Sus scrofa: one gene and its partners. The protein of the gene in region 5 interacts with the protein of the main gene of each other region in a pairwise test. Links are inferred from orthologs where the notes say so. Each region holds a gene or a part of one and is shown on either strand. Other genes may lie near its edges.

Evidence for each region.
Region 1: the proteins of HTT (region 5) and melanoma-associated antigen B18-like interact in binary tests that used the Homo sapiens proteins (3 or more experiments, as listed by UniProt). The link is inferred for Sus scrofa from reciprocal best matches to the Homo sapiens genes HTT and MAGEB18.
Region 2: the proteins of HTT (region 5) and UBAC1 interact in binary tests that used the Homo sapiens proteins (3 or more experiments, as listed by UniProt). The link is inferred for Sus scrofa from reciprocal best matches to the Homo sapiens genes HTT and UBAC1.
Region 3: the proteins of HTT (region 5) and DNAJC4 interact in binary tests that used the Homo sapiens proteins (3 or more experiments, as listed by UniProt). The link is inferred for Sus scrofa from reciprocal best matches to the Homo sapiens genes HTT and DNAJC4.
Region 4: the proteins of HTT (region 5) and EVL interact in binary tests that used the Homo sapiens proteins (3 or more experiments, as listed by UniProt). The link is inferred for Sus scrofa from reciprocal best matches to the Homo sapiens genes HTT and EVL.
Region 6: the proteins of HTT (region 5) and PDK2 interact in binary tests that used the Homo sapiens proteins (3 or more experiments, as listed by UniProt). The link is inferred for Sus scrofa from reciprocal best matches to the Homo sapiens genes HTT and PDK2.
Region 7: the proteins of HTT (region 5) and DNM2 interact in binary tests that used the Homo sapiens proteins (3 or more experiments, as listed by UniProt). The link is inferred for Sus scrofa from reciprocal best matches to the Homo sapiens genes HTT and DNM2.

What each region holds. Positions count from the first base shown.
Region 1 is NC_010461.5:22,081,549-22,084,540, forward strand, and holds melanoma-associated antigen B18-like, read left to right. Parts: upstream 1-1,368; 5' UTR 1,369-1,463; coding exon 1,464-2,492; downstream 2,493-2,992. UniProt on the Homo sapiens protein: May enhance ubiquitin ligase activity of RING-type zinc finger-containing E3 ubiquitin-protein ligases. Proposed to act through recruitment and/or stabilization of the Ubl-conjugating enzyme (E2) at the E3:substrate complex.
Region 2 is NW_018084833.1:1,667,334-1,669,856, reverse strand, and holds part of UBAC1 (ubiquitin-associated domain-containing protein 1), read right to left. Parts: intron 2,111-2,523; coding exon 1,894-2,110; intron 1-1,893.
Region 3 is NC_010444.4:7,878,109-7,882,041, forward strand, and holds the start of DNAJC4 (dnaJ homolog subfamily C member 4), read right to left. Parts: upstream 2,801-3,933; 5' UTR 2,764-2,800; coding exon 2,420-2,763; intron 2,391-2,419; exon of another isoform or gene 2,283-2,390; intron 2,095-2,282; coding exon 2,002-2,094; intron 1,089-2,001; coding exon 995-1,088; intron 517-994; coding exon 332-516; intron 248-331; coding exon 86-247; intron 1-85. Other genes in the region: NUDT22 (nucleoside diphosphate-linked moiety X motif 22), read right to left, coding at 3,230-3,506, 3,636-3,733.
Region 4 is NC_010449.5:120,986,835-120,991,050, reverse strand, and holds the start of EVL (ena/VASP-like protein), read right to left. Parts: upstream 2,801-4,216; 5' UTR 2,667-2,800; coding exon 2,656-2,666; intron 1-2,655. UniProt on the Homo sapiens protein: Ena/VASP proteins are actin-associated proteins involved in a range of processes dependent on cytoskeleton remodeling and cell polarity such as axon guidance and lamellipodial and filopodial dynamics in migrating cells.
Region 5 is NC_010450.4:1,808,302-1,812,567, reverse strand, and holds the start of HTT (huntingtin), read right to left. Parts: upstream 2,801-4,266; 5' UTR 2,657-2,800; coding exon 2,421-2,656; intron 1-2,420.
Region 6 is NC_010454.4:26,273,365-26,277,361, reverse strand, and holds the start of PDK2 (pyruvate dehydrogenase kinase, isozyme 2), read right to left. Parts: upstream 2,801-3,997; 5' UTR 2,661-2,800; coding exon 2,543-2,660; intron 2,373-2,542; exon of another isoform or gene 1,285-2,372; coding exon of another isoform or gene 1,197-1,284; intron 710-1,196; coding exon 568-709; intron 1-567. UniProt on the Homo sapiens protein: Kinase that plays a key role in the regulation of glucose and fatty acid metabolism and homeostasis via phosphorylation of the pyruvate dehydrogenase subunits PDHA1 and PDHA2.
Region 7 is NC_010444.4:69,472,800-69,476,811, reverse strand, and holds the start of DNM2 (dynamin-2), read right to left. Parts: upstream 2,801-4,012; 5' UTR 2,568-2,800; coding exon 2,407-2,567; intron 1-2,406. UniProt on the Homo sapiens protein: Catalyzes the hydrolysis of GTP and utilizes this energy to mediate vesicle scission at plasma membrane during endocytosis and filament remodeling at many actin structures during organization of the actin cytoskeleton.

The DNA of each region.
Region 1 (2,992 bases), on a different chromosome or scaffold from region 5:
GTATGGTACCAACTCTACTATTCAAACCTGGACTGGATTGCATGGCCAACATACAGTAATACACAGCATTACCAAAATAAAAATTATAAATAATGAAAGATGATATTCTAATTAAAAACACCAAAGAAACTGGCTGCCAAATATTAAAATATATAAGGAACTTAAGCAAGCTGGTACAGAAGATCACCACACCAAAACCAAGACTCTTTCCACACAAAACAAATAACTAATTAGAATATGTAATAGAAAATAACACCATTCAAAATAGCATTGATATCCCAAATACACCTAAAAAGAGAACTAACAAACTTGATCTTTATGGAAGCAAATAGAAAAAAAAAAATTACTGATGCACTAAGGTAAAAGAAGACTCAAATAGAACAATATTATGTTTATTTATGGTGAGTAGAATATTGTACAGATGTCAATTCTTCTTAAATTATTTACGGGCTTATGCCTTACCTGATAGGTTTCGCACTGAATCAGCAAGGAAGTAACCCAGCACCTACAAGGCATCAAGGTAAGACACTGAGTGAGGACTGAGTGAAGACTGAGTGAGGAACCCCCCAAATTAAGGGGCCACAAAGGGGCCCCTACTGTCAGTCCCATTAGACTCAGGTGCCCCCCTACTTCCTACCTGGGATTCTGAGTGAAATGAGAACCTTGGTCAGAGGCCAGCTGACTTATCTCAGGAGAGGAAGAAGTCCCAGGCCCTGTCAGGAGTCACGAAAAACTCCTTCCAGAGTTCTGCATGATTCCTCAGTCTCCCAGAACCGAGATAGAACTCCCCATAACCCCACCCCTGCTATAACTCCTGCTGGGAGGATGGGGTGGGCGTGGCAAGAAGTGCTCACCCTGATTTCTGCCACACCAGCCATGGAAACTTAGGCCTAGGTCTGAGGAGTGTGGTCCCATATCAGCAGAGGGAGGAGTTCCAGGATTGGACTGATGTCAAGGTGAGTAATCTTTGTTTGAACTGAAGGGACAGACTCCTCCCAGCACTGAGGTGTCCTCGCAAAGTCCCGCCATATTCTGACATGTTCCATCCCCACCCTTAACCCCAAGGGGCTCAAACAGGGCTGTTAGGCCCAATGCCCCTCCCCAACTCTCAGTGGGAGAATTTGTGGTGTGAGAAGCCCTGGTCTGAAGGGGCAGCCTCAAGTCAAGAGCAGGAGGAGTTAAAAGACTGGTCAGGAGCCAAGTTTAGTATACTGGGTTAGAACTGAGATCACAAGCCTCTGCAGATCAGAGGAGGTCCACAGAGTCTCACCACCCTTGTTTTGTGGTTTCCTAAAACAGTACCCCTAAGAAAATCAGCAAAGGCAGCTTTTCTTGGCAGCCAAGGTGGAAGAATCTCCCTGCTGAGGCTGTGCACACCATTTCTTTCTCTGTCTTCTAGGGCGACCTCTCCAAAAACCTAATTGCTTGAACAACTGTGCCTACTGTCCCTGACCAAAGTCATCATGCCTCGAGGACAGAAGAGTAAGCTCCGAGCCCGTGAGAAACGCCGCCAGGCCCGTGCTGAGACCCAGGGTCTGGAAGATGCTCAGGCTACTGCCGCAGCAGCAGGAGAGTCCCTGTCCCTGGTCCATGCTCTCACTGAGGACAGACCTCAGAATTTATCTGCTGCTGAGACACCTAGCACTCCTGAGGCGCCACAGGGAACCACCGATGCTAGTGCAGCTGTTTCATGCACCAATTCGGATGAAGGTACCAGCAGCCAAAAGGAGGAAAGCTCAAAATCCTCCAGGGGCACTGAGGGCTCACGCAGAGATCCTTTAAACAAGAAGGTGGTTTTGTTGGTACAGTTCCTGTTGCAAAAGTATCAAAAAAAAGAGCCAATTACGAAGGCAGACATGCTGAAGTTTGTTATTAAAAAGTACAAATATCATTTCAATGAGATCCTCAAGAGAGCCTCTGAGCACATGGAGCTGGCCTTTGGTGTTGATTTGAAGGAAGTGGATCCTACCAGGCACTGCTATGCCCTTGTCAGCAAACTAGACCTCACCTTTGATGGAACGATGAATGAAGAAGAGAACATGCCCAAGACTGGCCTTCTAATGATTGTACTGGGTGTGATCTTCATGAATGGCAAATGTGCCCCTGAAGAGGAGATCTGGGAAGTGCTGAATATGATGGGTGTATATGCTGAGAGGAAGCACTTCCTCTATGGGGATCCCAAGAAGGTTATCACTGAAGATTTGGTGCAGCTAAAGTACCTGGAGTACCGTCAGGTTCCTGACAGTGATCCTCCTCGATATGAGTTCCTATGGGGCCCAAGGGCACATGCTGAAACCAGCAAGATGAAAGTCCTGGAGTTTTTAGCCAAGGTTCATGATACTGTGCCCAGTGCATTCCCATCCTGGTACGAAGAGGCTCTGAGAGATGAGGAAGAAAGAGCCCAAGCCAGAGCTGCAGCCAGGGCTCGACTTGCGGCCATGGCCAGTGTGCGCTCCAGGGCCACAGCCAGCAACCTCTCCCATGCTAAGTGAAGTCCGAGGACAGTTCTTCACTTTTGGTTGAAAAGGTGTGGCAATGTTCTAATGGTGGAGGGCTAGGGTGGGACTTGAGAAGTATATCATCGTTGTATTCCTGTTATATATTGCTAACTTGGAATTTTACCTTTCTTTTTCTTTCTTTAGGTTGTATTTCGAATGATGAAATCTAAGAAATATTGTTTTCCTTGTGGAAAAAGAGCAGTAACATTTTAAGTGGGGGATGACCAGTGGGTCTGGAAAGAACACAGCGTATATCATCTTTGTGTTTCTGTTCTCTATGGTAAACTTATAGTTTAATCTTTTGCCTTCCTTTTCTTGTCCCTTCTTTTTTCTTTCCTCCCTCCCTCCTTCTCTCCCTTCCTTCCTGTCACTTTTTCTTTCCTTTGGTTATATTTTAAATGTTGTTTCTTTAATAGAAGGTAGAAATAATTGCAGAATCTAAATTTATTAATTATTTCAGTTACATATTTATTAGATTTAATTTAATAGATTTA
Region 2 (2,523 bases), on a different chromosome or scaffold from region 5:
GCCTCTGCCACCTTCTGTCCTCGACCGCTCACAGTGGGGGCTGTGGGCGCTGCCAGCCCAGGGTCGGCGTGTGGACACCGCACAGCCCCGTGCTCTGACCTCACCCCCCTTTGGTGGACGTGTGCGGCCAGCCTGCAGGCCGCCTGACTGCTGCTCGGAGGGCCCAACACAGCCGCCGCCAGCTGCGGGCGGGGGCCGGGAAAGACGGCTCAGCGGGGCCAGACGGCACGCGGTGCGTCCGACGGTCGGTCAGGACTTTCTGCTTACAACCCCCCTCGTCTGCTTTCCCGAGCCATGGCCTCCCTCTGGGCGTCAAAGACCGCTGGGGTGAGAGCCCCACGCAGGAGGATTCTGACGCCCACGCTATAAAACCGCCGGCAGTTTACTTCTTTTTTGGCTGTGCCTGCGTCGTGTGACGTTCCGGGGCCAGGGATTGAACCAGCACCACAACAGAGACAACACCAGAACCTTAACCCGCTGAGCCACCAGGGAGCTCCGGGAATCTACTTCGAAATCCAAGGACAGGAGGGCCTGCCTGTTCGTCCCAATAAAAACCCTCCTCTCTCCTGACTCCTGTCTCGGCCCAGGACTGCTGGGGGCGAGAGCGGACGCTCCCCCACCCCTCTTCCCAGCCGTCCAGGAAAGACCCCCCGTGGGCTGCCACATGGGGCCCTGGCATCCGCAGGCTCTGCCCACAGCTGGCGAGGGGAGCATCTCAAGTCCAAGCCGTGCTCTCCCATCCGGTCTCCCCAGGATCTAAAGTCACATCTCAATCCCTGTGGACAGGGACAGGAACAAAAGCCCCTTCTCTCGAGCCTCTAAATCGGCAACCAGACGATGAACGGCCCAGCAGCCGCCCCATAAGGCACGCGGGTCCCCACAGGGCGAAGCGCAGAGCCCGGCCGAAGAGCAGTAGGCCCAGCCAGCAGCGGCTGCCCTTCCCAGGCTGGAGCCGAGCTTGGCCCCTAAGACAGCGAGACGATGAGAAACTTCCCTCTGGACCAAAGTAAACCAGCTACTTGTGAATGCAGAGCTGAACCCAGAGGAGGAGACTCCCAGAGGAACAAGAACTGCAGGCCCACAGAGGCTGTGCTGGGGGTGGGGGCCCCGCCCGGGCGTTATGGGGCGGACTGGGGCCTGAGGTCACACACAGCACGCAGGCCCTGGGGGCACGCAGAGCCTGACGCCGGGCCCCCCGAGAGGGGTCTGCACCCCTGGAGGAGGGCAGGGATGAGCCACAGGAAAACTGGCCCCTGGCCGGAGGTCCGGCTCAGCCCCACACAGGTGGGCTCTGACTCGCCCCCAGAGGGTGGCCTGCGGGGTGGGGGGTGGGGGCGCCCATGGAAACACGGCCCCCAGACGCCGCCCACGCTGGGATGCCGTGGCCGCGGAATCAAGAGGATGGACGAATCAGAGCCCTGCCAGCTGAAGCGGGTGGGCCTCCGATGGAAAACAACAGACCCTGCTCGAAGGAGGAAGCCATCCGAGAGGAAACTGAAATTCAAACCCCAGAGAAGAGGAGGGCGGGACGACGAGGCGGCAGAGGAGAGGTGGCGCTGAGCGGGCTCGCTCGGGCCCGCTGGCGGGGCACAGCCAGCGGCACGCGGACCTCGGGCCCTCGACTCGAGCCTGACCAGCCTCCCCGCCCAGCCGCTCGGCGCTGGGACACTCACTCGGAAGACAGACGGGAGCCTCGGAGCTTCCAGAAGGTGCCAGGCCTGTGGACTCCTGGTTCAGAGGAAGCGCAGCCCTCCACAGAAAGCGGGAGCCGCCTGCAGCCGCCGGCCCGTCTGCCCCTCTCCCCCGACCCCCGCGTGGCCTGCCGTTCTGCAGGGCCGGGCCGAGCCGCAGCCTCCGGGGAGAAGCAGCCGGGCCAGGGCCGTGGGCACCTACCCGAGCGTCGGCACGAAACTCCCTTTTCCTCCGGATCTTCTTGAAGATTTCCGTCAGCTCGTCCCGGGCCTCCTCGTCCCCCTCCTCCGCGCTGGGCCCGGCGCTGGGCCCCGCAGCGGCCGCCTCTCCCGGCGAGGCCGGGCCCGGCAGCGGCGTGTCTATGGTGGGGTCTTCCGCATGCTCGATGAGCCACTCCATGGCCTGAGGCACCGACATGCTGCGAGAGAAGACGGCCCTGCGGCACCGGCCGGCGCTGGGCACTGGGCTCTGCGCCCGCGGCGGGAGCCGCCCACCCTGGGGGAGAATCCCGGCCTGGGCTGCCTGCCAGGGAGGCGCGTCTGGGTCCGAAGCACACGGCCTGCCGACTGTGTCCTGGGGACAGGTGACCGGCTCGAGTGCTGAACAGAAATGGAGGGCACGGGCCTAAAGGCGGGGCCCGCAGGGGACCCCTGGGGAGCCGGCCGCACACGCGTCGGCCGCCACCAGACCTGGGCAAGAGCCCGGCAACACGTGCAGACGGAGCGACACACGTTCGCAGCAAGCGACTCGACCTCCGGCTGCCCCCCAACGCTGGGAGACGCCCCATCGGGTTATTCCTGGACAGGCGCCCGGGGAAGGGTCCAAACCCTC
Region 3 (3,933 bases), on a different chromosome or scaffold from region 5:
CCACAGGGACAGTGTGGGTGGATGCCTGACACTGGGCTTTGCCCACCCTCCTGCCCTCTGCCCATCAGCCCAGGGGGAAGCGCACCTGAAGGCAACATAGTGCAGGCACATGCCTGCCAGCATGATCAAGAGGCAGTACCCCAGCGTTCGCTGGTTGTGTTTCTGCTGCTGCCGCCTTGACTCTGGTCCCTGAGGCCTGACACCAGGAAACTGGGCCCAGTATCGTGCACTGGGGTCCTCCCAGGAGCTGTTGGGAGGGAGAAGGGAGAATGTAGGGAAGAGTCTCCTGGTGAGACTTGGCCGTGGCAAGCTGGGGGCAGGACTACTGTACCTGTGCGCCCGATGAGCAGACCTGGGATAGGCTGCGGTTCCTGGAGACTTTGGGGAAGTCGCTGAACGAAGCTGGTGGTCATAGCTACGGCGGCTCTCCTCACGGCTGAGCACTTGGTACGCTTCACTCAGCTCCACAAAGCGGCTGTGCAGGGCTGGGTTCCCGGGGTCCCGGTCAGGGTGCAGCTGGGGTGGGGTAGGACTCCCCTCATCTCCCTTTCCATGCCCCCTCCCAGGACCTATCCTGATCATGTCCACCCACCTGGGCTCATGTTATTCCTAAGGCCCTGCCTGGGCAGTGACCTTCACTCTCAGGGCTGCCTGTGCCTCCAGAAGAGTAGAGTCTAGAAGCAAAGACTCCTGCCCCCTCCCCTGTTGACACCCTCCACACCTGCTGCCTGGCTCTCACCATATACCCTGGTCCCAAGAACAGGCGGGTCAAGAGAACCAAGCCCAGACCATCAGACAGGACCCTTGGCTCCTGCTCCCAACCTTTCTTCCCCCCTGGCCAGATCCCTGCCCCTGGGGCACCTCCCATTCCCTGTGAAATCCTGAGGGAATATGCACAGCCAGAAGGAGCCTCTCAGCTCCATTCCTGAGAATTTGGAGCCTCCCCCATGTGGCTCACACGTTCTCCCCCCTCTCCATTTAAGACCACTGGTACCTCTTTGGACTTGGAGAAGAAAGCTCGTTTAACTTCTTCAGCACTGGCACCAGGATGCACCCCCAACAGTTCATAGTAGTTACTGGGGCCAGACCTGTGGAAAGAGGCCCAAACATGCAGGGGATGAGGAAAACACAGGATACCCCTTTCCTGCCCCTCCCAGCCCCTGTGGGCCACGCCCTTCAACTCAGCATCCAGGTGCCAGGGGGCTGAGGCAGGGGCCAAGGGAGATCTCTAAATCATCCCTCCCTCTTTGAGTGTTCCAGGTATGGACCACATCAGAATGTCTCAAAGTGTAGTCTTCGGACCCTTTGCATCAGAAACCCCTGAAAAGCATGTTTAAAAAATAGATTCTTGGAGTTCCTGTTGTGGCTCAGCTGATTAAGAACCCAAGTATTGTACGTGAGGATGCAGGTTCAATCCCTGGCCTTGCTCAGTGGGTCAAGGATCCGGCATTGCTGCAAGCTGAGGAACAGGTCGCAGATGCGGCTCGGATCTGGTGTTGCTGTGGCTGTGGTGTAGGCCCCATGTGCTGTAGCTCCCATTTATTTGACCCCTAGTCTAGGAAGAACCTCCCTATGCCGCAGCTGTGGCCCTAAAAAGAAAGAAGAAAAAAGTGGTTTGCTGAGTCCTCCTTCATTCCCGCCAATCAGAATCTCCAGAGCAGGGCCCAGGAATCTTCATTTTTGTGAGCTCCCCCCATCCCCAATCCCACCCCCGTGGGTTTTGTACAGGGGTGCTTGACAACCACCAGCGTGGTGGACAGCACATAGGGTTTGGCTCGGGATCAAATTCCAAATCTGCCACTTAACTCTATGGCCTTGGGGGTCATCCCTTAATCTCTGATCCTATGTCCTCAGCAATGAAGGTGAGGGTGACCGGAGACAAGGCTGTAAGGCGCCTGACCCAGAGTAAGAGATCACCACTATCCCAGAACCTAGTGTAGGGTCTAGAACTGGGCAAGCCCGCAGCAGAAACCTTCTGAATGACCCAGGCGCCCAACTCACCGCTGCCCGGCGGCCGCAGCGAAGGACCGGGTGGGAGGGTTGCGGGGCCACAGCCGGCACAGGCGCAGGGGCAGCATGGCGGCAGGCGGGCAGCTGGTGAAAGGAGGCCACAAAGAGGAGTGGGATGGGACCAGACTTCAACCACTGAGGAGGGGGTGGTGGGCAGAGGGAAGGGGCCCGATCCCGTTTAGACGCGAAGGAAAACTGAAGCGGCCCAGGGGACGCAGAGGGAAATGGAACCTCCTTGCTCTAGACCAGACCCGCCTGTCCCCGCCTCTGACCAGGGCGTCCGGGGCCTTTCTCCAGTCTTGTCTCAGGGTCTGGATAACCGGCCCCGGATGCAGCGACCCCTTCCCACCTGGGAGCCTGGGGGGGGTGCAGGAGGAGCCACACCAAACCCCGCCCCTGCTGCACTCACGGACTCCGCGGCCGTCGCCATTTCCTGCTCCCATTCAGGCCCGGCCTCCTCACTCTCATTGGCTTAGATGCTAAGGCCACGCCCACTCGTCTGAAGGTGAGGACGTGCGGCGAAGGCCCGCCCCCTCCCGCTGACTGGCTTTTGATGCCTCGGACCCACCCATAGAGGCGGGCTCCTGTGGTCTTGGCAGGAGGGCGCCAGCACCCACTTGGGAAGCCTGCCGACCGACCCTGACCCTCGACCCTGGACCCTAGGCCCGGCGCAGTTGCCTTGTCCCTCCCTCGGATATGCCTGTTACTCCGCTCTGCAGCGAGACGCGTTTCACAAAGCAGTTTCCACACCATAGTCGGCCTGGAACCTCATCAGAGCCTGGCAAGGGAGCAAGGCGCTCAGCTTCAGAGGGGTAAACCGAGGCTGGGCCTTACCACCCCACCCCCCACCCCAGGCCCTTCGCTTGTCTCTGTCGGCCACCTAGGGCTCTCCCAGCAGCCCCTCCCTGTCCCACGGAAACAGCAGATGGCAGTGGAATCCAAGAATAAAGTCCTTTATTGTCTTCCGAGCGGTGGTGACAGGGCTGGGGACTCAGGGCAACTCAGGTGGAGTTTCCCTGGACCCGACTGTAGAGGAAGATGGCGCCTTTGGCCGATGGGCAGAGCTGGGACCACATTTCAGTCTCCTGCAACCTCCGCACCTTCTGTGGGGAGACAGTGAGACCCAGACATCCGGACCTCAGGTTTCTTGCGGGAGCTGTGCCCACAGATTCTGAGCCTCGGAGCCCTCTAAGGAGACATGTCGAGGGGGCTGAACAGGTTAGTGGCCTCTCTCCTTGGGCTGGGGGAATCCTAGTGGGGCCTTGTGGCTCCGGAGGGAAGCCCTGAGAGATTCAGGAGCCCTCTCTGACCCAGCCCTGGGAGACAGACATGCATCACCAGGCTTCTGTAAGCCCTGAGCCCAGCTCTTTGTCCAAAGAAGACACACTTTGCCACTTCGAACCTGTGTCTCCACAAAGATAATTCCCGTGGATTCGTGGGCCTCAGGTCCCCCACTCATGTAGTGCTTCCTCACCTGCTCAGAAGACAGGCTGCACCTGGACAGGGACATGAGAGTGGCCTGGTGAGTGCTTAGCTCCTGGAGGGTCCCTCAGCTGCCTCAGCCATGCCCCTTAACCACCCACCTACCCCAGGACCCAGGACCCTGTCCCCCAGAGCTCACTCACTGGACGTAGAACTCGGCACTGGCACGGCCGGCACTGGTCTCATTGCGGGCGATGCCCAATAGCAGCGGCCGGCTCAGGGTGAGCAGCGGCAGGTTCACCTAGGATCAGGGAGACCACCTGTCAGTACCCACCGCCTGCTTCCCTGCTCCTCTCAGCATAGAAGAGTGTGTTACCCTTGGACAGCATTTTACAGTTTGTACTTCAAGTGCCCAGCATCACAGAATGTCAGATCTTGGGCATGCTCATGGGAAAATCAGAACCGGCGAGATTGAATGGTTTGCTCAGGGTCACCCAAGGG
Region 4 (4,216 bases), on a different chromosome or scaffold from region 5:
CTGCCTCCTGACCTCTGAACTCACCGGCCGGGTCCCATCTCGGCTCGTCTAGTTGTCTTTTTGTCTTTTCGCGTCTCTGTTCCAACTCGCAGAAGGCGCGCCCTGCCCCAGGACAATTTCAGGACGCCTGTCTCGTCCCTCTTGGTTCCTCTTAAACTCACCCCTGTCCTTCGGAGTGCACCTGAGGTCCCACATCCCCCGAAGTCTTTCCTGACAGCCCCCCTTCTCGACTCGGGGTGCTCTTCATGTCTACACTCGCCATGGTCTATACTGCGTGGGACTCAGGACCCGCGGCCCTCTGTTTCCAGGAGTGCCGTCTTCCCGCTCGCTGCGGCTCCGAGCAGAGGCCTATCCAGCGCCGTGTAAGGGCGTCTGCGTTGGGGGACCCGCGCTCCCTCCTGGGTCTCCCTCCCGCCTCTGCCTGGGCTTCTTCCTCTGGGAAATGGGAACAGTAAACGCAACACTCGCTCCTTCAAGCACACGGAGAGGGTGCACCGTACGCGCTGGCGCTCAGAACGCAGTTCCTGGCGGATGGCTGGCCAGGATGGGCTGACGTGCTCTCAGGGCGCCGAGGCCTTTGGGGACCCTGAGGCCTTTGGGGACCCCGCTGGCTCAGGCGCCACGGCGACTGAGGAATCCAGCTGTTCCAGCTCAGCCGGGCAAGCATGTGCCCAAGCAAACGCTGCGGGCCTTACAGCGGCTGTGCAGGGCGGCTTCGCAGTGGCTGGACGGGGCCAACTCGCTCAAGACAAACGCTGCCTCGACGGCCCGACCTGGGTGCCCCAGAGCTGGACTAAAAAAAATCATTTTCAGATTTCAAAATTATCACCAGCAAAATACAATTTTTTTCCTCAAAGAAATATTGAGGACTGCTTAAAAAAGATAAAAGAGAGTAAATTTGGTTGAAGTGGCGGGTGCGATGCCTAAGGCACCACTAACCTACACAGTCCACGCTGGATGGGCTCTCAGCTGCTTTCAATATGGAAACGCCTAGGATTTCTATACCTTTTCTTTTTTCTTTTTTGTCTTTCTTGTCTTTTTAGGGCCGTACCCGTGGCATACGGAGGTTCCCAGGCCAGGGGTCGAATCGGAGCTGTAGCCGACCGCCTACTCCAGAGCCACAGCAACGTGGGATCCAAGCTGCGTATGCAACCTATACCACAGATCACGGCAACACCAGATCCTTAACCCACTGAGCGAGGCCAGGGATCGAACCCGTGTCCTCATGGATGCGAGTCGGGGTCGCCAACCACTGAGCCACAATGGGCTCTCCAAGATTTCCACACTTTTAATTCAAGGATTTTTGACACCTGCTTTGCTTCCTCCTCACTTACTTCTGACGGTATTTTCTGCAATGGCAGCTGACAGGATACACTGTGCTTTTCATGGTGTAACTTTCAGCTGAAGATGACTGGTTCCTGCCCACTTTGGAAGGTAACAGGCCTTTGAAATGGAAAGTCTTGTTTTCCACAGCTCCACCCACAAACCTTCTAAGGCTCAAGGAAAATGACTAAAATGATGGGAAACATGGCCGCAAGGGAGCAGGAACAGAGCCAACTGTAAACACAGCACCTGCCCTGGCTCTATGAGCGCTGGGCCTGGAGGCAGTGACTCCAGCACCTGGCCAAGGCTGCGCTCTGAGGCGGGAGCACTGCCCTCCCCAGAGCTCCCCCGCTGACCAGGAGCATGGCACCAGCCCTACTCCCCGCACCATCCACTTTCACAAGGCATTGCAAGGCACTCCCAGAGAGCCTGGCCCATGTCCTGGAAGCTTCTCCTCCTAAGCAACCCTGAGCAAGCGCCATGGCCCGTCAGAGGCCAGGCCTCCTCCTCCACAGGACACCAGTATCCCCTCCCTGAGCTGACCCACCCAACAAGGCTGGAAGCATCAGATAAGGGAATGGGTCAAACTGCAGTGTGGGAACTGGGAAGTAACTTTAAGGAGCAGGATGACAATTCTGTGCTAAGACGCAAAGCTGCAAGGAGTGGACCAGGCAAATGCCCCCGATTCCAGGGGATGAAAGCCTGCTCTGTGGCCCATTGTCTTTCATGGAGCTGCAGGGCAGGGAGAGGCATGTCTAAAACGCAATCTCACTTTTAGAAGTTACATGTGCAGGACGCAAACAGGCTGGTGCCCACATGCACGTGAAACCACAACAGTCTAAGTGACCGGTGGCCCAAAGTCAGCCACAGGTGTCTAAAGCAGACGTTTGGGGTCCTGCTGTTACGGCCCATGAAGTTTCCACTACAAAGCGTACCCCACTTCTTCCCTCCTGCCCAGTATTGAGAGAAAACCGCTCGAGTGTCTTCAGGCCATTCCCAGAGGAGAACCCAGGACCCATCGGAGCACCTCTGAGCCGAATGCCAACCCCCTCACATGGTTCAGAGCCCCCTCCGCCACCTGGACTTCTGAGGCGGCGCTTTCCAAACGCACACAAAGTGCCTAAAGACAACAGCCATCGAGGGACCCGGGCCGGTGTGGCGGCCAGACCCGCAGATGAGCGCGCGCGGGCTCCGCACGACCTGCGGTGTGACAGCTGGTCTCCCCATGCGTGCAACCTGCGGGTCTGGGAGGGTTTCCAGGGCCTTCGGCTCTCTGCTATCACGGCTCCAGGTCTCCTCCGGACGCCCCTGTCCCCTGGTCCCCATACTCACACGGTGGCCATGGCTGCGTGGCTGCGGCACGGAGCAGCGAGGCGGTGGGTCGTGGATCCCACTGGGCCCGCTGACCAGAGGGCCACGGACCCCGGGGAGGCAGCGACGTGACGCTGAGGCTCTGCTTAGAGCCAAACAGGAAAAGGAAGATGAACCAGAGACAAAGGGGAAACAAACGCCAGTTAAGAACTGAAACCGAGGTAGAAAATAGAGAAACGAGAGGCTCTCGTGGTGCAGGGCCCCCGCCCCCTCCCCGTGGGGCCGCGCCTGAGGCCTCAAGTTCCAGCACTTTCTGCAGACTGAGTGGGCTCTGGGAAAGGCGGGGGGCCCCCCGGCAGGAGAGCCGTCGGCCCTGTCCTCCCAGGGCCTTTGTGGAAGGGCCCCCTGGTCCAACCTGCAGAGCCCACAGACGACTCAATGCTTTTGACAGCCGGTTGAGGCTTCCCGTTTGACTCGGGAATAAATCCTGCCCTCCGGCTGGAAGACGGGTCTCACCACCCCCGGTGAGGTTTCTGTCAGCACCTCAGGGCTGGAAGGAAAATGTCTGAGGACCAACGGGAACGTGGGTTGGTCGCTGGCTCCACCGACCCCGGCCGGGCGGCTGCTTTCTCAGCTCTAAGGTGGGGCTGCGGATGCTCAGTCTGTGAACCCTCGCCCGGCGCTCGGGCGCATCCGCTCCACTCGCGAGCTTCCGTGCAGAGCTCACAGAGACCCCACAAAGTGTCATGCATTGTACTAGAAATGAGAGACAAAACAGTGCCAGCAACAGCAGCACTTGTCCTTAAAGGGCTCTTAAGGTTTAGAAAGGAAGGGACCGATAGGTGAGCAGAGGGGTGCGTCCAACAGTTGCTACTGCTATCGAGGCAAATATACCGAGCACAGGGCAAGAGAAAGATCGGTCCTAACCAGAGGGCTGGAAGCACTGAATGCCGAACATCCCTTTTCAAAGGGTTTCAGAGACACACCTCCTTTGGCACCGCTTTAGGTGCCAGTCAAACTTTGACACACTGTGGTTTTCATTTTCTCTTAATTCAAGATATTTTCTATTTCCCTCTGCGTTTTCTTCTTCTTTTTTTTTGGCCGCACCCGAGACATATGGAAGTTCCCAGGCTTGGGAATGCATCTGGGCTGCAATGCCACCTGGGCCACAGCTGAGGCAATGCTGGATCTTTAACCCTGTGTGCCACAGCAGGAACTCCTGGTTTCTTCTTTTACCCACGGATTACTTAGAAGTGCTTTAATTGCGAAAGAGTCATTGTTATCCTTCCTCTGCTGTTTATTTCTGAAACATACTTAGTCTAAGTCTTTTGTTTTCCTGGTATGGCTGCAGTCCTGTTAAATGTAGGGAGACCTGCCGGATGGCCCAGCAGGAGGTCTATCTTGGTGAAAAGAAGGCGTGTTCTGAAACTGGGTGCAGGGTCCAAAACGTCAATTAGGTCAAGGTGGTTAATAGTGTGTTTGAGATCTTCTTACGTCTTTACTGGTTTGCTGTTGGTTTATTTTTATCTCATTGTTCTATCAACAGTTGAGACTAAGGTATTAAAATCTCAAACCACAACAG
Region 5 (4,266 bases):
GAAAAGAATGGGAGCTACTTTACTTACTTTTTGCAATTTTGGAATTTGTATCAAGTGACTGTGTTATTCATGCAAAAAAAAATCAGGTTCCGTTTAAAATAAGTCAATCATACATTTCCTTACAATAAAACAGTGAAACAAAATCTACTTCATCAAGCTAGCTTAAGAAGGAAGTTCCCATCGTGGCGCAGCAGCAGAAAGTTGCTGTGGTGGCGCATCGGAAATGAATCCGACTAGGAACCATAAGGTTGCGGGCCTTGCTCAGTGGGTTAAGGATCTAGAGTTGCCATGAGCTGTGGTATAGTTCCCAGAGGTGGCTCGGATCCTGCATTGCTGTGGTTTAGGCTCCCAGCTGTAGCTCTGATTGGACCCCTAGCGTGGGAACTTCCATGTGCTGCAGGTGCAGCCCCAAAAAGCAAAATAAATAAAAAATTTTTAAAATTTAGGCATTCCTGTCGTGGCTCAGTGGTTAATGAATTCAATGAGGAACCATGAGGTTTCGGGTTCGATCCCTGGCCTCATTCAGTGGGTTAAGGATCTGGTGTTGCTGTGGCTGTGGTTGTAGGTCGGCGGCAACAGCTCTGATTAGACCCCTAGCCTGAGAACCTCCATATGCTGCAGGAGCGGCCCTAGAAAAGACAAAAAGACAAATAATAATAATTATAAATTTTAAAACAATTTTTTATTTTAAAAATTTAAAAAAGGAAACCTCTTTACACCCGTATTTTGAAGAAGATAAGCAAATTCAGGTTCTGTCAAATCAGCATAAGAAGCAGAAGGCATATTTTTAGGCTGACCAAGTGATTGCACGAGCAGACAGGGACAGCAGTAGAACCTCCTCCCTACACAGAGCCCCACTAGTGCTTCCCCTGTTTATACAAGGTCCCAACCACGTGTTAACTTCATGACATCCACCTGCAGGAGATGCACTACCATGAAAGTCTGCGATGGGTTATGGTTATAAATTACTTGCTGCAGAGGTAAAGCAAACTGTTAAAAAATATTTTTTTCCCCTCTGAGTATTCAAAAGACCTTTTCTAGAAGAAAAAAATTATTTCTAAATTTTATTCTAACAGATAAGCCAAAATCACTCCTCGACTCTCATTTTCTAACGAAATCTCTGACACAGCAAGGATCCTATCAGAAACATAAAGAAGAAAAGAAGAAAACATTGCTAAGAGTGCATCAGCCTTAACAGAGTGAGCGCCTTAAAGGGGCTGCTTCTTGAAAGCCGTCCTCATGAAATGCCTTCCGTCCACCTTCGGCTCAGACACGAAGTGGCCCGAGGTGAAAGGCTGGCCTGCCGCGGAGCACGCCCCGGCCTCGGCTGAACCACTGGGCACACGGGACTCCAGGGGAAGGGCTTGGGTGCTCTCAGAAGGTGCTCTATGAAATGAAATGTTCGTTTTGGGGTTTTTTTTGCTATTTCTCTGGCCGCTCCCGCAGCATATGGAGGTTCCCAGGCTAGGGGTTCAATCGGAGCTGTAGCCACCGGCCTACACCAGAGCCACAGCAACGCGGGATCCGAACCGCGTCTGCAACCTACACCACAGCTCACGGCAACGCTGGATCGTTAACCCACTGAGCAAGGGCAGGCACCGAACCCGCAACCTCATGGTTCCTAGTCGGGTTCGTTAACCACTGCGCCACGACGGGAGCTCCTGAAATGTTCTTTTTCTGTCTCAAAAATTCTCCCTGGCACAAGCAAGAGACCCCTACTTCCCAACAGCACCGGATGTCAGCGACAGGCGACGCCTGCGGGGTCCCCGGACAGCCACGTTCCCGCACCGCATTCGCCCCCGGCAGTGAACCTCTCCCTCAGCAACACGTCCTTCTCGTTCCCACTGCACACAGGCACTGCACACAGTCAACTCGACCCAATACTCCAGGCAAATTTTAGTTTCTCCCTCGTGACTCATCACCACCTAAACAGCGCACCACGAACTTGGCCACCACAACCCGCTCAAGAGCCTGCAGACCAACGGGAGCGCAGACAAGCTCGGCTCTGGCCGACGCCGAACGCGCTGCGGCTCCGCCCGCGACCCCGCACTCGGGGGGATGCCCGGCGGCAGCGGGAACAGGCTGCTCCAGGGCCTCGGAAAGGACTCGCCATTGGGCCGCGCGCGCCGCCGCCCCCGCCCCGAGGCATGACGTCACCGCTCCCCCGCGGCGCTCCGGCTCGGGTCCCGCTCCTCGCGGCCGGCGGGGCAGGGACCGGAGCCGGCCTCGCTCCGCCAAGCGCTGCTCCCAACACGGCCCCGGCTCCGTCCCTAACCTCGCGGCCGGGACGCCCCGGTGCCTCCGGGGGGGGCCGGCGAGGCTCCGCGCCCTGCGGGGGGCCGAGACCCACGCAGGGCCGGGGAGGGGCTCGGGGTCGCCCCGTCGCCGCGGGCCGGGGTCTGCAGGGGGCCCGCACTCACGGTCGGTGCAGCGGCTCCTCGGCCACTGCCGGGCCGGGCGGCGGCGGCGGCGGGGGCGGGGGCGGCGGCGGCTGAGGCGGCGGCTGCGTCTGCGGTGGCGGCTGAGGAGGCTGAGGCGGCGGTGGCGGCGGCTGCTGTTGCTGCTGCTGCTGCTGCTGCTGCTGCTGCTGCTGCTGCTGCTGCTGGAAGGACTTGAGAGACTCGAAAGCTTTCATCAGCTTTTCCAGGGTCGCCATGGCGGCCTCTCGCCCCGCGGGGACAGCCCCCGAAGCCCTCGGGCCGCCTCGGGGCTCCGCTCAGCAGCGCGGCAATGAATGGGACTCGGGGCCGCAGGCGGGAGCGGAACCGAGGCGCCCGGCCATCTTGGGTCCGTCCCGGCAGCCCCCGCGGCCCTGCGTCCCCCGACGCTCCGCCGGCGGGGCGGGGCCGGACCGGCGGGATTGACAACCAAAGACGGCGGCCTCCGCCAATGACCGGACGAGGCTCCGGCCCGCCCCCCGTGCCCACCGCCTGGCTTCCTAGAGCCCCTGGGAGAGGGGGCGGGGCGCGACGGGGAGGGCGTGAGCGTCACGGCACGTCCGGGAAGGAGCCCCGCCCCCGGGAGGGAGCCCCGCCCGCGGGAAGGATTCTGGGGGATGGCCGGGAGGGTCAGCCCTGGGTGTGGAGCGGGGACCCCCGCGGGGCCGCTTGCCCATCCAGCGGCCGTGGAGGAGGGAAGGTCCTTGGGACAGCCCTGCAGAGGAGGAAGGGGGAAGTGGAGCTAGAAGACCCTCCGGGCGGGAGGCCAGGTGTGACCCCTCGGAGAGGAGCTGGGCCCTGGAAGGAGAGTCAGTAGCCCAAGGGGGAGCTGAAGGCTTCGGGGTAAAAAAAACCTGCCTGGTCAAGGCCCTGCTCCCCAGAGAGGCTGTGGCTGGTGCAGCGAGAAGCCGCTTTGACCCCGGAGATGCCCCCACAGGAGACTGCCCAGCCCACGGCTGTCCACTCCCAGGGCGGAGGCCGACCGGTGTGCAAAGGTCCGGTCTAGGGCTCCAGAGCCTCATCACCTGGAGGGGAGACAGTGGGCAAGCCAGGGGCAGCACGGAGCACACGGCCTCAGGAAAGCCCTCTGGGGCAAGCAGTAGGAAGCCTCCAGAAGTCTTCACCTGATTTCAGAGCCTGTTGTCCCAAAGCAGTCAGGTGAACAGAAACCCAGCATCCCCACAGGAAGCGTTGTCCCCAAGGGGACAGCAATGGGGGCCTCCCTTCAAGGGAAGGATCTCAGAGAAACGTGCTGCCAGCCTTGAGGTCCCTGTTCCCTGGTGTTAATAAAGGCCCTTGTTCACTGGCGAGGCTGCATGCCAGCCTTCATGCAGCACAGGCCACAGTGGCTGAACTCCAGGCTGTCAGGTACTGTGATTGGCAGACTTCTCAGATGGCCCAGTGACCCCCTCCTGCTGCTCACTGCCTTGAAGAAAGAGCCCCCTCCCTTGAGTGTGGGCTGTCACTGGTGGTTCGCTTGCGATTAAGTAAAATTTATATTTTAGGGTGGGGCCCAAAAATGGAAACATAAAGTTCTCTGTCATTTGGCCTCCTCCATCGCCCCCTCACGTGGAGGGTGTGTCTGCCTTACCCCGGGGCTGAAGATGGGCACGCCCGCTCGACTGTCACACTGGCATTCTCTCCCAGCTCTCCAGGGATCGTAATGACTCACTGCTCTCCTGGTACCTGTTTACCTGGGCTTTGTATCTTTGGTGACCTCTATGCAGAAGGTCTGGGTGGCATCGTGATGTGTGATCCTTAGTCTCAGAAATGTGCATGATCATGCCTTGGACTCCTCACAGGTGGATCAGCCCTCCGAGCTTCCGAG
Region 6 (3,997 bases), on a different chromosome or scaffold from region 5:
GCCACAACGGGAACTCCTGGACAGAGGTTTCGCCTGAACTTTACTGAGGATTTCTCTCTGCTATGGCTGCTCTGCAATAAACTTTGGTCTTTGCCCGTCCGAAGCTCTCTGGGGTTGGTATGGTGCCATCCCTGTGTCTATTTGCATGTTTTCCATCCTCCCAAATAGGCTGACTTGTGCGGATTACATAATTTGAAGATCTGCTTCTCCCTATTTCTGTTTCCCACCAAGGTGCCCCAGATGGGTATTACCCAACAGGTGCTATGTTTTCAGAACCGGGTTGGGGCCAAATGCTGACATTAGCCTGCTTTGGGGTTTGGGGCTGTGAAAAGGATCATTTCCTACGTGGATCCCATGCTTCCAGAGACTGTAGGGCGGAAGGTGGAGGGCTGTTCCCTAGACATGGAGGCTAGGAGCTTGGTCCTAGTCCCTGCTCTGGCCTAGGGAACTCCTGCCCTCTTGGAGCCCTGGTGCCTCCCCTCGGTCCCCATCTCTCTCAAGGCTGCGGTGGGCAGAGGGCATCTGGCAATGGAGCGGGAGGTGCAGGGACCTAGCCAGGGGTCTCACCAGCTCTGCACCAGCTGCACCGAGGGTGTGCTCAGCACCCGGTCGGGAAGCAGGTTGATCTCTTTCATGATGTTGGCCAGGCGCACTGGCAGCTCCTGCCTGAGGAAGGTGAACGAGGTTTTCTCACAGGCATTGCTGGATCCTGGTGGGAGAGGGAAGGGTGAGCCCCATAGAGTCATGAACCATGCACAGGAGCCAGGGGGTTTCTTGGGGGTCAGATCTCTAAAGCCTTCATTTCCTGAGGGTTCAGAAGAAGCCAAGGCACAGGACAAGGAGCCCCTCCTGACCTCTGCAGTGACCGCCACACCACCCAGCCTCATCCTTAGGGAGGCTGCATGCTCTCTCCACCTGCAGCTGAACCCAACCCCGGGGGACAGGGCCATCTGGGCTCACTGTGACCTCCATCCCAGCTTCTTCTCTTTCTTTCCCTCCCAGCAGACACACAACCCACTTTGAGGGGGGTGGATCCAAGTGGGCAGAGGAGCCTGGAAAATCTATCCCTACCTTGAGATGAGCACCCTCCCGCCCCTGGCTAAGGGGAGCTATGCTGGGACCACAGCAGCTGCAGGGTCCTGGTGTCACCTCTTTATGCCCATTGTAGGGCTGCCCCTACATTAATGCCCACCCACCTGTGAGGTGGACAAGGTTGAGAACCAGGGCCCAATACTTTGGTCTGGCTTCAAGATGAAGAGGTGGTGGAGGACTGGATGGGGCCATGGCCTAGAGTCAGGAGACCTGGGTTCTAAGTCCAGCTTCTGCTTCCAACTCTGTCACCCAAGGCACGTCACCATGCTTCTGAAGGTCTGCTTCCCCTGCTGTACCCCATCCTTCTGAAGGTCTGCTTCCCCCGCTGTACCCCGAGGGAACCAGACTCTACCCTGAGCCCTTCCCAGCTGTGACAGTTCTGTAACTGGGGTCCAGGCCGGGCTGGGCAGCTGCAGGGGGTTGAGAGGGGGCTCTGGAGGCTTTCCTACACGGGAGGAGCTCAGGCAGACAGGTCTTGGGGAACAGGTGCCCCGTGTCCTGACTGCCACCTTCCCCCGCCTGCCATCAGTGACGCAGCTGTAACCTGAGCCAGGCACTGTCTCTCCTCAACTCTTGAGAGAAGGGGCACCCCCCCTTCTAATCCCCAGCTGGCACCATGGAAACACGGTGGGAACAGACAGGGACCACACAATGCCTGTTTCAGTCACCACGTTGGCACAGCCTTGCTCTGGCTCCAGAGCCACCCCCAGAATGGTGGTGGTGGTGGGGGGTGTTAGGCCACCCTGGCACAAGAACCCAGGGGCAGCCAAGGGTGGGTACAAGGCACCCGACTGCACCTCACAGCGCCCCAGACCCCTGCCCAGCTGGAGACAGATGGCCAGGCCACAGCAGATTTGATCTTCAAGTGTCCTTGCCCACTGGGACAGCTGGAGGGCAGCTCCTTCAGTGGGCGGAGGTGTACTGGTCAGGGTGTCCCTCCTGTTGACTCATCTGAGAGAGCCCCTGCCCCCAACTGACCCCTCCACGTCTGCCCTGCACAGGTCTCCTTCCAGATGGCTGTGCCTCCCAGCCCTGCCTCCTTACAGCCACCAGCATCCCGGCCCATTTCTTCTCTGACCCTCACTCTTAGAATCGCCAGAACAACCCCAGGAACCCTTTCGTGCCTTCCAGCCCTAACATCACCGCCTCACTGCCCCTTCCTCACCAAGACCCCTCACAAAGCCCGAGAAGATACCTCCGATCCCTCCTCAGCGCCCCCACTTCCCACTGCCTAGTCTCTCCAGCCGGGGTGCCCTAACCCTTTTAAGGCCGGCTGCCTCCGGCCTCTCCGTTAACCCTCTCCTGCCTGGACCCCTGCAAGCCAACCCTTCCCGTCACTCGGTCTCTCTCAACCTCCGTGTTAACCCTTCACGGCCAGGACGCCTTCCTCCCCCCCAGCCCCCCCTCCCCCGCAGGTCCCGGTGGCCAGCCGCCTCCCGCCCCCTCGTACCGAAGTCCAGAAACTGCTTCATGGACAACGGGGACGGGGAGAACTTGCTGAAGTGCTCGATGTACTTGGGCGCCCCTGCCAGGGACGCATTCTTCAGTAGCGCGCGGACCCAGCGCATGGCAGCGGCGGCCGCGCCTCGGGCTCGGGCTCGGGCTCGGGCTCCGCACCCCGCGCGGGCAGCGTTGGCGCTCGGCTTGGCCCACTCGGGTCCCGCGCCGCCCAGGCCGCCTCCTCCCCACCACCGCCCTGGCGGGGCTCCGAGTCCGGCCAATCGGCTCGTCGCGGCGCCCCGACGTCGCCAATGGCCGCTCACAAACAACTTCCGGAGAGCCAATTGCCTCTCGCCCCGGCACGTGGCTGCCCCCTGGGCCCGCCCCCTTAACTCCGTGTTTGCCCGGAGCGGCCTGTTGTTTTCGGGAGGCCGGGCGGAGAGCCCGCCTCCCGGGTGTCACCCCGCCCTTCCTCCTCCCCGCCCATAGGGGTTAACCCCTCCCTTCCCAGAGGCTCGTTATTCCCATACCTATTCTACTCCTTCCTTTCCCCGCTCCCTCCTCAGACTCCTTCACGTCTCGTCTCTGAGATTGTTCCGGTAGCTGTCAGCGCACCCCATTTCCTCCCAAAGTGTCCCGATTCACCTATCTTGATTCCCATCTGCTCTCCCTTAGGGGGTCTAGTGGGTTCCCAATTCAGATGACAGTGACTCAGATTGAATGTTTGCTAACTTCGGGATCTGGATGCGAGCCCACGTCAGTCCCTCGTATCACAAAGATCCAAGCAGCTCATGAAAAGGCGGCATGTTGCTTTTCCAGTTAAAAAAGTCAGTCAACCTCCTAATTAACACCTGGAGGCGGCAGAGGCAACCCTTACCATCAGTGCTACAATGAAGTTTTCAAAAAACTTTTTTTTTTTTTTTTTGTCTTTTTAGGGCCGCACTAGCGGCACATGGAGATTCCCAGGCTAGGGGTCAAATCGGAGCTGTAGCTGCCGGCCTACGCCAGAGCCACAGCAACTCGGGATCCGAGCCGCGTCTGCGACCTACACCACAGCTCATGGCAACGCCGGACCCTTAACCCACTGAACGAGGCCAGGGATCGAACCTGCATCCTCATGGATGCTAGTAAGATTCGTTTCCGCTGAGCCACGAGGGAAACTCCCAAAACACTTTTATTTTTTTATTCTCTTCTCTTTGGACCTAAGAAAGCAACCTTTTTCGCTCTGAGCGTTCTTAGAGAAAGGTCCTGGGAGATGATTGGTGCTGGAGGCGGAGAGCCCGCCCTTCCTCAGCCAACCGGCTCTCTCGTGGGAACCCAGCGCGCGCCCTCTTGTGGTCGAGAGCGGTAAGTCCCTCGCTTCTCCCCCCACCCCCTTGAGGTGTTTTTCGCTGTTCAGTCGTGGGCTCACATTCACCAATGGCATAATAAATTTTAGGCTTTGTGCTGGGACAGGGAAAGAGAC
Region 7 (4,012 bases), on a different chromosome or scaffold from region 5:
AATGTTCAAATGAAGTCCAGTGTGTAACTTATTAATTTTTTCTTTAAGGGCCGCACCTATGGCATATGGAGGTTTCCAGGCTATGAGTGGAGTCAGAGTTACAGCTGCTGGCCTACACCACAGCCACAGCAACACAGGATCCGAGTCGTGTCTGTGACCTACACCACAGCTCATGGCAACGCACCAGATCCTTAACCCAGTGAGTGAGGCCAGGGATCAAACCCACAATCTCATGGTTACTAGTCGGATTCGTTTCCGCTGCGCCACAACAGGAACTCCCCAGTGTCTAACTTTAGAGCACTTTCTTTTTTTTTTTTTTTCATTTTGGCTGCCCCGCAGCATATGGAGCTCCCAGGCCAGGGATTAGATCCGAGCTGCAGTGGAGACCTAAGCTGCAGCTGCAGCTATGCCAGAGCCTTTAACACACTGTGCCAGGTGGGGGATTGAACCCTTGTCCCATTGCTCCTAAGATGCCACCAATTCCACTGCGTCAGAGTGGGAGCTCCTAGAGCACTTTAATTCTAACTAGCTTTTGTTGTCAATATGAAAGGAATCAGCCTGGTGAATAATAACTCCATTCATACAGACCTACTGTGTGCCAGGCACCATGCTAAGTAAGCACTTTCAACACATCATGTAACTGCATCCTCGCAACTGTCTTGTTGAGGGTCCATCACCCCATTTTTAGGAGGGGCAGCTGAGGCTCAGAGAGGTAAAACAATCTGTGCAAGATCACAAGGCAAATGAAATGGACAGAGCTTTGCGGATGCCCACTGGAAGCCTGGGCAGGCCAGGCAGGAAGATGGCCAAGCAGGGGGCCCATAGCCCAGCCCAAGGCTCAGCCCAGGCCTGGTTGATCCCAAGTCCACGCCTTTCCGCCACAGTAGACAGAAGGCAGTTCGCCAGAGACAAAGCAGCAAAGGAGGAAATTCACGCTGCTGGGAGCAAAACCCCCAGGCCTCTGGGAAGGCAGGAGCAAAGCTGGGCTCCACTGAGCTCCTCCTGCCTGGTGGTCTTGGGTAAACAGGCTGTCTTCTGAGTGGAACAAGAAAGAACTTGGCTTGGGGCCTGTAGGATGAACGTTACCTCTTAACACTGATAACAACAATAATCACGATAATAATGACTATGATATTATCATTTGGCAGCCCCAGTCACAAATGGAGTCCTTCCTAGACAAATAGAGAAGTGGCCACCCATCTGGGAGGCAGAAGGGCAAGAAGTGGGGGAAGGGAGAGAGAAGAACCTAATTACATCCATTAGCTTCCTGAATCCTAGGAAACAGCCCACAGAATGGAATATGTCCACAGGACAGAGAGCCAAACTGAGACTTCTCAGAACTATCCAAAAAAGGCTGTATTCCAGATCTTGCCTGATCAGGTAAGAAGTTCCTTCCCAGGATCCAGGAAGGGCCCCCCACATTTGCAGGCTTTAGCTTGGGGGGCTGGCCCCTATGTTCTAGGGCCATGGAGGTACCCTGACATGGACCAGGAAAGAGTCCTGGAGAAAGATTCCCCCGAGGGTTCTACTTCCAATTGAGAGGAGTTCCAGTCTCACCCTTCAGCTCCCTTTCTCTCTGCATCCTCCACCACCCCCTGCCACAGTGGTGGGGTCAGACAGTCAGTCCGCTATGGCACAAACAGGCAGATTAGGAGAAGGTCAGATAGTAGGACAGACAGACAAAGGTTCCACTTGGAAAAGAGGAGCCAGCGTTCACCAGGCACTAAGCTTTAGAGTCAGCCCAGGAGAGCCAGGCAACAGGGTCCCCAAGGGTCAGCCAGCCAGTCAGACAGCAGAGGCCAGCTGGAGGTAACCCAAGAGAGGAAGAGATAAGTGTTAAAGTCTGTGAAGTGCACGGATGGGCAGCCGGACAGGACAGGTCATCCTAGATAGCTGGCCAGGCAGCAGGGGGCTGCTCTGCGGTACTGGACAGATGGACAGCCAAATGGTGGTGGTGGCAGAAGCCTATCCAGGACAGAGAGACAGCCAACGAGACGGCAGGAACTGCTCCAGATAAATGAACAGCCAGTCAGACCGCAGGGGTCGGCCCAATGGATATCTAAGTGACAGGTTTCGGACAGACAGGGAAGGGGAACCTGCCCCTGACACACAGGCAACCATATGGTAGAATTCACCCACTATAGCTGAGGACCAGAGAATCGGCAGAAATCCACCGCACCTTCTGGCCCTCGCCCATGAGATACCCCTTTAGCCTGGGCCGGCTCCCCACCTCCTGCAAGGAGCCCTCCGCCCAGGGCGTCCCACAGGGCCCGCCTCCCTGTCCCCGTCCCCGTCGCGGGCACGCAAGCGCCGCAGTTACGCCGGCGGCGCAGGGCGCGCCATTCCCGGTCCGCCCTCCGCGCCCTAGGCCGCCGCCCGCCCGCCGTCGCCGCCACGCTCGCTCACCGGCCCACGAAGTTCTCGAGCACTGAGCTCTTGCCGGCGCTCTGGCCGCCCACCACGGCAATCTGCGGCAGGTCCAGGTGGCAGCTCTGGCCGATGGAGCTGAAGGCATCCTGCAGCTTGTTGACCAGCGGGATCAGTTCTTCCATCCCGCGGTTGCCCATGGCGCCGGTGGCCCCGGCCCGAGCGCCCCGCGCTCCCCACCCGCCCCTGCCTTCAACGACGCGGCCCCGCGGCGTCCACGGCCGTTGCTCCCCGTCCGCCCGGGCCTCGGCGCGACGCCCGCTCCCGGCTCGGCCTCACGGTCGCCGCCTCATCCGGTTCTCAGGCGACACCCGACCCAAGCGACCTCCCGCCCGGGGCCCTGGGGCTGCGCCCAAAGCCCTCGCCCCACCCCCGGTTGGTCAGCCGCGCTGTCGCTCGTGCACCCAAGCCAGTGAAAGGGAGGCACGGACCTACAGCTGAATGAACCTTCCCCCCCGGGGACTTTCTCTCAGTCTCATTGGACGCGAGAACTGTCGCTATTGTAGAACAGCCAATAGCAGCGTGAAGCGAGTTGTTCAGGCCGGGAGGCGGTGTTTCGGAAAAAGGCATGTTAGCCCCGCCCATTGGGGGAGTTCCCGGATGGCAGGCCCATCCGCCAGTTTTATTGGCAGGGAGACCGGCCAGTCAACAAAATTGGCCAGTGATATTAAGGATCGATTCTTAAACACAGATCTGTCACTCGACTCTACCTAGTTCCCTAAAAATTTCCCATTGGTTTATATAAATATCACTCCGTTCCGTCAGCCAACAAATCAAGAGGGTGGGATTTAACCTCGAATCTTGACGCTAATTGGACGATGTATCTGTCCATCAAAGAATCACAAGCGCTTACTTGTGATTGTCGTAGGTCGGCTAGTCTTCTGAAGCAAAGAGTAGACCCAAAGTACTCGCCAACGTGCGCCACCTTGTGGACCCAGTGGTGATGGTCACGCCTGAGTTCCTCGGCTCTTAAAAAAAACTACAAGTCCCAGAATGCGTCTTGGCCGTGAGCTCACAAATCAGCTCCTTGCGCGGGGACCCAGTGCACTTTGAAGGTGAGAATCAGGCGATTAGTGGTTCCTAGGGAGAAGCAGGCTAGCTCGGCCTCGCTAGCTCCCACGCCTCCAGACCCTGGCGAATGCTGTGTCCTCCCGTAGGAATACCGTCTGATGACGCCTGTGTTGATGCAGCTGACGCTCCAACGTCGTTCCTCTGATTCTTCAACTTTAGCACATCTTGGATCTTTTTGAGTACTCAATGAAACTCAACGGAACTTCTCCCCAGAAAGTTCTCCCCTATTATTTTGCAGGCAACGCTGGGGATTCTGGGAACTGGGACTCTTGACCACTTGGAAGAGGCGGGGGAGTTCCGGCTGTGATACAGCGGGTTAAGGATCTGGCTTTGTCTCTGTGGCAGCGAGGGTTCGGTCCCTCAGCCGGCGCAGTGGGTTTAAATTCTGACGCTGTGGCAACTATGACGCTGTCGCTGGGATTCGATCCCTGGCCCGAGAATTTCCATGTGCTGACGGTGCAGCCAAAAAAAAAAGGAAGCCGGGAATAGATGGACTGACTTTAACAGAAGTGAT